2 linked regions of the Sus scrofa genome follow. The protein of the gene in region 1 interacts with the protein of each later gene in a biochemical or structural test. Links are inferred from orthologs where the notes say so. Each region holds a gene or a part of one and is shown in the gene's direction. Other genes may lie near its edges.

Region 1 (4,293 bases):
AGAGAGAAACTTTTGTTTGCTAAAACTGTCTCCTCCACTTACCTGAAGGTGGGTGAAGGATTTCCCTACTCCGGCTCGCTGCTCCTAGGGGAAAAAGGAATGCAGTTAATTAAGAGTTTCTTTCCCTCTGATCTCCACCTGCCACTACCTGCCAGGAGAGAAGGGGAGCTACTGGCACAGGTTTTCCCACCTCCAAACAATCTGAGCCCTACAAGCAATTAAAATTCCACCTTCAGCAGAAAACCTATGGAAAAAGAGGCAAGCCTCTTCTCTGAGCTCTTCCTCACATCAACTTGCAACTTCTCAGCCTCCCCACCCTTTCCCTTATCAAGCCACTAAATTCCAAGGCTGCTCTGCTTCCTGTGGCATTTCTCACAGTAACACCTCACTCCTGCAAACCTCACCACCTGAACTTGACAACTAAAAACTAAGAGGTAAACAGAAAGCCTATAATGGTCATAAACTCTGGAGACTAAAAGCTCAGGCTCTTTGTTTTCGAGAAAGCTCTTCAACCACTCTTCCAGGGCCTTTTAACTTAAAATGTTTAGAACCTTTCTAAGAAGCTCAGTTAACTGGTAGCCCAGTCTATTCACAGGCAACCCTTGGAAACAACAAAGAAAATCCCTAATAAGGAGGCCTAAGCTTTTTTACAAACACAGCTTTTAATTTAGAGGAAGCAAGTCACCAACACTACCCTCAAAAGCCTCCGAGGCACAAGGTATAAAACATGGTGTGTTCATAATTATCCTCCTAACCATGTCCTACTGTGACGGCCACGATCCTCCTAGATAAGCGAGGGGTCAAATATAAACGCTGCCAGGTCAAATATGCTCCATATACTTGTCAACAGAGGAGCCACGGTTGCATCTGAAGCCAAACTTCCCTGTCTGAAAAGCCTGTTTTCTTCATACCTCAAGATGCCACAGGTTCCTAAAGTTCTTGCCTAAAAAGTCGATGGAAGATGTACTTCTTAGAGAACCTCAGTATACCTAAGGTATAAAGTTTGGTTGCTTCCGTAAACTTGGAAAAAATCACAACTGAGGGCCCTGGCTACCACGGCGCTTCCGAAAAGAGCCCCCGGACGAACTTCCTCAGGCAGAGCGTTAGCTTTGGGGCCGACGGCCGTGAGGGGCGTCAGAACCCAGCCCCGCCCAGCACGAGGAGGGGGCGGAGAAGGGGGGGGGGCCGGCCGGGAGCGAGGCTCTCACTCATTGGTCCGTTCCCTCGCGCGCCGCCGCGAGGTCCCGCCCCTCGCAGGCCCCGCTCCCGGAGGGTAGCCCTGAGAGGTCTTCCCCGCTCGCGCGCGCGCGCGCTCGCGGCCTCCCTGCTCCAGGCCTCCCGGCTTTAGCTCTCCGGATGGAGCCTTTCTTGGAACGGCTCTTCGCCTGGTTCCCACCTGCAGACTTCCGGCCGGCGGCCCCCTCCGCCGCCCCGCCCCACGAGGGCGGGAGATGCTGGCCGCCACCAATCATGAGTGCGCATGGTAGGAGAGGGTGGGGCCTGAGAGATTCGAAAGGAGCCCCGCCCCCTCGGAGCTGATTCCCGGGACTAGGTTGTGGAAGGAAAGCACCTTCCGCAGGAGGTGAGGCGGAACGGAAAGTAGAAATAGGGTGGGCTGCCGGCGTGGAAGGGATGTGGTGCCGCGGGGAGTAGAAAGGTGGCTTGGAGAGAGGAAGAACCAGAGAATGGTCGCGGAGAGGGAGATGGGGGGGCGTAGACCGCCCTGCGAGGAGAGGTCGGGTCGCAGGGGGCGGGGGCCGCCGTGCGCAGGGACATTGGAGTGTGGAGGTACGTGTCTGGACCTGTCCCGGAGATAACAGGGGTGGTTTACTGGAGCAAGTGCTGCTCTCGGGATGCTTGCTTCACCTCCAAGCACGACCCCTTGCAGCCTAGCTGGGCCTAGCTGGGAGGCCTTGGGCAGAATGGAGACCTGAGGGGAGGTATTTTTCTCTCCAGCTCAAGTCTAAGCTGATTCTTGCTTCTCTGGAACATGGAAGGTTTAGAAGAAGGTAAGGAAACCCTGGAGGGAAGAATGAGGCCCTGTGATTGAGAGCCGTGTTTGGGACCCAAGGCTGTATTTCTTCTTTCCTCCCCTACAGATGTAAAGTTTATAGTGGATGAGACCTTGGACTTTGGGGGGCTGTCACCATCTGACAGGTAGTAGACTCTTTATCCTACTTACTTTGCTTCCACAATGCTTGTCTTTAACTTTTACTGGCCTCGGGTCTGGATTGGGAATTTAGCAAGATTGGGTGCACTGAGGATTCTGGGTAGCTGGTTGACTTGGGCCCCTTGTGACACGACTGGGGGAGGGGAGAAGGGATAAGCTGGAATGAGATTGCAGGGTGTTAAGTAGAAGGGTAAGTAGATTTGCCGCATCTTCATCCTGACATAATTTCCAATGTCAGAAAATGCTGAAGGCCTCATAGAACCAGGTGTCTCATCAGGTAGATCTCACAGCCAGCAGGGACATCAGGGTTGGGGTTGTGGCTCTGGCTCAGACGTGGGGGCTTTGCCCAGTCTCCTTCTCTCTAACGTGTGGGCATGGTGTTCGGTTTGTTTTCTGCGTCAGTCGAGAGGAAGAAGATATAGCAGTGTTGGCGACTCCAGAGAAACCTGTCCGACGAGGCCTCTCTCATCGAAGTGACCCGAATGCTGTGGTCCCCGCCCCCCAGGGTCTGAGGCTCAGCTTAGGCCCCCTCAGCCCAGAGAAGCTGGAAGAAATCCTCGATGAGGCCAATCGGTTAGCAGCTCAGCTGGAGCAGTGTGCCCTGCAGGAGCGAGAGAACACGGGCGAGGGCCCAGTGCCTCGAAGAGTGAAGCCCAGCCCTCGGCGGGAGACCTTTGTGCTCAAGGACAGTCCTGTCCGAGACCTGCTGCCCACGGTCAGCTCTCTGGCTCGGAGCACTCCCTCCCCCAGCAGCCTGACACCCCGCCTCCGCAGCAGTGACAGGAAGGGGTCAGTCAGGGCTCTTCGGACGACATCTGGAAAGAGGCCCCCCAGCGTGAAGAGGGTGAGTTTAGAGAGTTTGGGTTGATGTGTGCCCCTGGCACTGTTCATGACTCAGTACAGGTGTAGAGCAGTTTTCTTGTCAGTGAAATGGAAGTCACATTCTACCTCATTAAATTGTTGGAATTAAACGGGGTACCATGAGCAAAGCGCAGCACAGCGTCTGCAAAGCTCTATAACGTCTCTAATAAGCTCTCGATAAATGACATCGGAGGCGATGATGACGGTGTTGGCAGCTAACTGCTCTTCCTTATTGGGATCTAGGTGACTCTCCACCTCGATCCCTTAATCAACCAGCAGAACCGATTCTCTTTGCATCCTAGTGCCTTTTTTCCTCCCTCTCTTTGTGTTTCAGGAGTCGCCCACTTGCAGTCTGTTCCCTGCATCCAAAAGCCCAGCGTCTTCTCCTCTTGCCCGATCAACTCCTCCAGTCCGGGGGAAAGCTGGGCCCAGTGGGAGAGCAGTAGCAAGTGAGAAGACCTTGGCAGCAAAGCCATGGGTGTGTGGGAGGAGGGAGGATGTGGAGCTAACCCTAAAATTCCTCACCTCCTCTCCACCAGGCCCCCCGACCCCCGTCAGACCAGTCCTAACCCCACAGCCTTCTACCAGCAATTCTCAGCGCCCATCTCGGCCACAGGGAGCCACGGCTAAACCTTCCAGTCGACTACCGGTTCCATCGGCCATTCCTCGGCCCGCCAGCAAGATGCCGCTCACTGGCCGGACTGTACCATCCAGCAAAGGTGCCCTTCCCCCAGACCCGCTGTCAGCTCGGAAAGGACTTCCAAGACCAGGTGCCACAGGGCACAAAGGTGAGGAAGGGTGGACAGAGGGTAAGAAATCAGGAGGAGGAACACCCACCCTTGCCCAGCCTGAACACGCCCTCCCGGAGCTGGTGACAGTGACTTTCGCTACCTTGCTCACAGCTCTGTTTGACCATGAGGAGACCGACTTAAGGAGAAAATGCGGGTCTGGGCAGAGTTTGAGCCTTAGGTTTTTTACCTTAGCTGGGAAGGGGCGCTAAATCCTGGACTTGTTCTGTCTTCATTCAGTATCTCTGAGAAGGTCACTTGAACCTTTTACTAATTCATGTCTTTTGTTAACCCCCATCAAGTTCCTGTTTCTCAGCGACCAAATCCTCCCATCACCAGTGTCGGCCGCAGCAATCTGCAGCCCCCCAGGAAGGTGACAGCCCCAGGACCTACCAGGTAAGACAGGCTGAGATGCTGTCTCTCTTCCCTCTGTCTTCTGGGCTTCTGAGCTGTTACGCTGTCAGCTCCGAATCC
Region 2 (4,529 bases), on another chromosome or scaffold:
TCCCCCGCCACCTGCCACAAAACATCTTAGTATATTTTAGTTACATAAAAGGAGTTGATATGTTGAAATAGTACCTCCTTTATATAATTAGGCCTTTCTTTGAGGACACTGATGGTAGCCAAAGGTCTGGTGAATTGGGTGACTTAGTTTAAAACAAAGTCAACTCTTGCCTGGACTATCACAACAGTCTTTCTATAACCCCACTCTCAGCTACAGCTTTCTCCAGCAGCCAGTGATCTTTTCAAAACATAGAGTTATGATCATTTTTCTACCACCTTACCACCCGCTACAAGGTCCTACAAGATCTGGAGACTGTCGCGCCGCTTCACCATCAACCCCAACTTCACCACAAACCATTATCCCTCCTATGATGCTGGACTACCTGGTTCTCTTTCTTGCAGTTTCTGTCCACAGCAAAAGTTATTCTAGCATCAGAGGTTTTGCACTTTTGATGTCTCCGCCTGCAAAATCCTCCCCAACCCACCCGACCCCGGATCTTGGCATGGCTGGCATCTCCTCATTCAGATCACTATTCAAATGCCACATTCTCAGGGACCTTTATTATCAAAACAGCCATCACATCTTAGCCAATCTCCACCCCATTCCGCTTCCCTTTACATAGCCTATCTCTACCTGATAAATAGTTTCGTGTTTGTCAGTCTCCCTTGGTAAAGTGAAAACTCCACGATGATGAGTGATTGCATCTACCTCGTTCACCGAGGTCTCCCTAACGGCTACAACAGTGCCCGGTCGGTAAATACCTGCTCAATGAAAAGAAGCACTTAATAAACATGGCCATCTCCCGTATTTTCCCCTCTCTCCCTTTCAGCCACAGGAATTCCTGAGGGACTTCACCCTTCCAGGCAAACCCTTGAAGCGACACCGCCAGCCCACAGGACTCTCTTTCTTCGCCAGGCGAGGAACGCCATCCTGGGAACTAACGGAGCCCCGGGGGCCGAAAGACCTGCCAAGGCCCGGCACCCGCGTCTGAGAAGCGCTGAAGAGGGCGGTGGGACAAGGCTCCCCTCTCCTCGCCTCCTGGAGACTGCCGCCTTTCTAAGCCTAAGCCTAAGCCCAGAGACAGCCTCTCAGTAGGTCGCACACACGCCTCCCGCGCCGCCAAAGTTAGCGGCCGCTGCCAATTACCTGCAGGGAACCAGCTCGAGCCACCCTGACTCCGCACCGCCATTCGCGTGAGCACCGGCCCCTTCCGGGCCACCGTAGTTCGCGGAGAGAACCCGGCGTTGCCTTCTCCCGCATGCGCAGAGGCCCTGTGCGGCGCACCGCGTTTCTTAGCAACCGCCTGGAGTCCCTCCGCCAGGGGCGGAGCATTGGAAGCCTCAGAAGGGGAAGTGAGTGAGGCCAATCCGAGAGGAGTCCTAGCCCCAATCGGCACGCCTCCCCTAACTGTCGCGAATGCGCAGGCGGCTTTACGGCAGGCAAGGGGTGGGGGCTGCTGGGGGTAGGAGGAGAGAAGGAAGCAACCAACCAACCAAGTTGTCCCCACCCCCCACCCCCACCCACTCCGGACCTGGTTTACGGCTCCGGGCTCAGGCTCCAGTGCGGCCGCTGATTGGCTGCTGAAGGCTTGGTCCCATCCCAGTGACCCCAAAGTGCTGGAGGGAGGGGGCGGGGGTGGCCCAGTGCAAAGTGCATCCCGAAAGCCCCCTGCCTGGAGCCCCCGCGGCTGGCACTTGGGACCCTGTATGACCCGGGACCTCGCTGCCCCGAGACCTCCTGTGCCCCCAGTGGCTGGGAGCCTCCGGCCCGGAGCGCGGCAGCCCCCTGCTCTGAGCCTTCAGACCGGGACTGCCCCCCCACCCGAGCCGGGACTTCCTCCCTGCACCCCTGCCCCGAGGCTGCCCGGCGGCCAGCACCGCCGCCTCAGGTCGGCTCGGCTGTGTGGATGCTGGCCGGACTGGGGCCGTGAGGCACCGAGGAGGACCAGGAACAGCCGCGTCCGGCCCTGCCTGGGCTGTTTCTTCAATGGAGAAGTTGGTGAGTGTGGAGGAGGCTGAAAGGAGGAAGAGAAGCAGCAGCTGAGGAGACAGGTAAAGTCAGTTACCTCCCGGAGGGGAAGGGGGCTGGCCTGGGAGGGAGGAGAATCCCTGCTTCTTCCTGCCTGCCTTTACCACTCTCTTCCTCTGCTCTCCCCTCCTCAGATCCCCCTCCTCCTCGCCCCGGGGCTCTGCACAGCTTTCTGCTTTCTGATCTCCAGGTTTGAGCTGGCTTGAGGAGGCGAGAGGGCAGGAAGGGTCTACCACCAGAGAAGCAGCAGAGAGCCTCTGACCAGCATCCTCCATAAAGGTAATAAGCCACTCCTCCCCTCCCCCATTGTTTATTCTTGGCCCCTACCTCATTAAGCAGTGCTTTATTTTCGGGATGGTTACCTGGGAATGCAACCCTTTCCTGGCCCCCAGTTTCCAGGCAAAACCAGAAACACTGCCTATGCCCTGATCTTTAACATTTTAATAACTTCTTTTTCCCAGGAACGTATTTTATCCCTTTTGCTCTGCACAGTGTTTTCGTGTTTTGCATTTTCTTTCGGTACACTGAACCGTGTACCCTGCTCAGAGACTTTGAGACCTTTTTGTGGTTTCCCTGCCCCTCTTACTCTCATAGGAATTCCTCAATTCCTGGTTAATTGCTTGTTAATTCTGAATGACTCTGCTTTTTAATTAAACTACAATTTTCTGCTTTCCCTGTATACTTTCCTATAACCTTTTCTCTACCTCTACCAGAAAGTCTTTTGAGTTATCTAACTGGTGAAGGTTTAGGTAGAGGAAGATACAGTAATAACTTGAAACTTAAGAGTTTCAGAAAATAATGCCAATTTTTTTTCTAGAAAAAATGAATCTGTGTACCTAAGTAGTATGAATAGTACGAAAGCAATACTCCCTTCTGAAGCACTTATGTATAATTAACTCTTTTGTGTATTTCTTGTGACAGATGTGGATGGGCTCTGAAATTCTTATAAAAAGATCAACCGTATTTGTTATATTTTGGGTTTCCTAGAACTTATAAAACTTTATGCAGTATCTTGTTAATCATTTGACACTCAGGAATTTAAAAACCAAAGACTGTTTTGGTGTATTTAGAATCTAGGGTTTTATTTTTGCACTCTTCATAAGATTTCTCATTTCAAAATCCTTACAGAGAATTGGTTAGATTGAAATGTAGGCATCTAATTCATGTGATCAGATTTCTGCTGCTGTATTTTGTTGCTGTCTTTGAAAATGAGCTAAAGGTAAGTTTAGGACATTCATGTAAATCCTGAAGAGGGGGTATAATCAGGGAAATTATGTAGGAGTTAATTCAGAAATTAGCCAAGTGAATAACTTCTCTAGCATCCAATAACAGGAGTATAAAGTGACTTGTTAATCTCAGAGTTATTTTAATGTCTCAGATTGTTTAGGGAATTTTAGGTACAAAGAAGTACTTAAAATAGCAGAAGTTAGGAAATCTTTGCCTTACTCTGTTCAGGTGGACTTTCTGCCTTCTAGTAAAAGAAATTAATGTCTTTCCTGATTCTTCTAATTGTCAAGGTACAGCTAAAGATACTTTTAAGGGGCCCTGAGGGTTTGTATCTTCTTGAAACCCAGCAATGGACAGCAAAAGGAGGGTGTCTGCTACCAAATGGGATTTAGAATCAGAATCTACCAAGGACTGTTTCCTGGTGAACATTTAGGGCACCCTTTGCATGTGTATGTAGGGTCCACTTCATTTCAGTAAATGCTAGGCAGAAGGCGATTTTTATTATTGAAATATATGAATCACCAGAGAAATGCCTAATGATTACTTTGGAACTTTTTAAAAAATGCTGAAATACTGGAAGTATGTTTTTAAAGTAAAAAGGAATTATGTATTTTCTATTCAGGTCTTTTCAGTTAAATATTTTTCTGCTTTAAGTTGAACTTTAGCATGTTTTCATTTTCTGAGAGGTGTTATCATCTGTGCTGAGAAAACACTGCTTCCCTCTGGTTTCCAATCAGTTCATTTTCATTGCTTAAATGTATTTCATTGACCCTCTCAGCTTTTAATGGTTTTTCTGAGAGTAGGGAATGTATGTAAATTGTCCACATCTGCTCCTAATATTAGCATGATTGAGAGTATTTGGTCTAGATTATGTCAAATGTTTAAAATATATGAGTACTTTCTTACCAACATGGCCAGTTAGTTAATCTTTTTCAGTCTGGTAGCTAACTTTGTGGTAATTCTATTATCAGTCACATGGTTTTGAAAGAAAAAAAAATCAGAAAACACCTGATTTATTTGGTAACCAAGTAAGGTTTATAATCGCATTGGGAGAATCACCAGTTTTGGTTGAAATGATGTATTTTGAGTATGTTATGGCCAATACTTACTTTCTTCATACCTAAAATGATGCCATTCACAATTATATTATGACACAGACAATATCTTTATCTTGTTCACTTTTAGCTTAGGTAATACAGAAGTGTGTACTATCCCCCAAGAGTTTAAAGTCAGGCAGTTTCTAATACTTGACTTCAAGCCTTTCAGTTCATTCT

The links.
Region 2: of the proteins of PSRC1 (region 1) and ASB7, one has a biochemical effect on the other in vitro, tested with the Homo sapiens proteins (2 studies listed by BioGRID, with this or other methods). The link is inferred for Sus scrofa from reciprocal best matches to the Homo sapiens genes PSRC1 and ASB7.

Annotation. Positions count from the first base shown.
Region 1 is NC_010446.5:110,812,074-110,816,366, forward strand, and holds the start of PSRC1 (proline/serine-rich coiled-coil protein 1), read left to right. Parts: upstream 1-1,238; 5' UTR 1,239-1,582; intron 1,583-1,588; exon of another isoform or gene 1,589-1,788; intron 1,789-1,956; 5' UTR 1,957-1,990; coding exon 1,991-2,009; intron 2,010-2,099; coding exon 2,100-2,157; intron 2,158-2,572; coding exon 2,573-3,014; intron 3,015-3,365; coding exon 3,366-3,480; coding exon of another isoform or gene 3,481-3,509; intron 3,510-3,570; coding exon 3,571-3,819; intron 3,820-4,121; coding exon 4,122-4,215; coding exon of another isoform or gene 4,216-4,219; intron 4,220-4,293. UniProt on the Homo sapiens protein: Required for normal progression through mitosis. Required for normal congress of chromosomes at the metaphase plate, and for normal rate of chromosomal segregation during anaphase. Plays a role in the regulation of mitotic spindle dynamics.
Region 2 is NC_010443.5:139,189,948-139,194,476, forward strand, and holds the start of ASB7 (ankyrin repeat and SOCS box protein 7), read left to right. Parts: upstream 1-1,459; 5' UTR 1,460-2,051; intron 2,052-2,162; exon of another isoform or gene 2,163-2,218; 5' UTR 2,219-2,307; intron 2,308-4,529. UniProt on the Homo sapiens protein: Probable substrate-recognition component of a SCF-like ECS (Elongin-Cullin-SOCS-box protein) E3 ubiquitin-protein ligase complex which mediates the ubiquitination and subsequent proteasomal degradation of target proteins.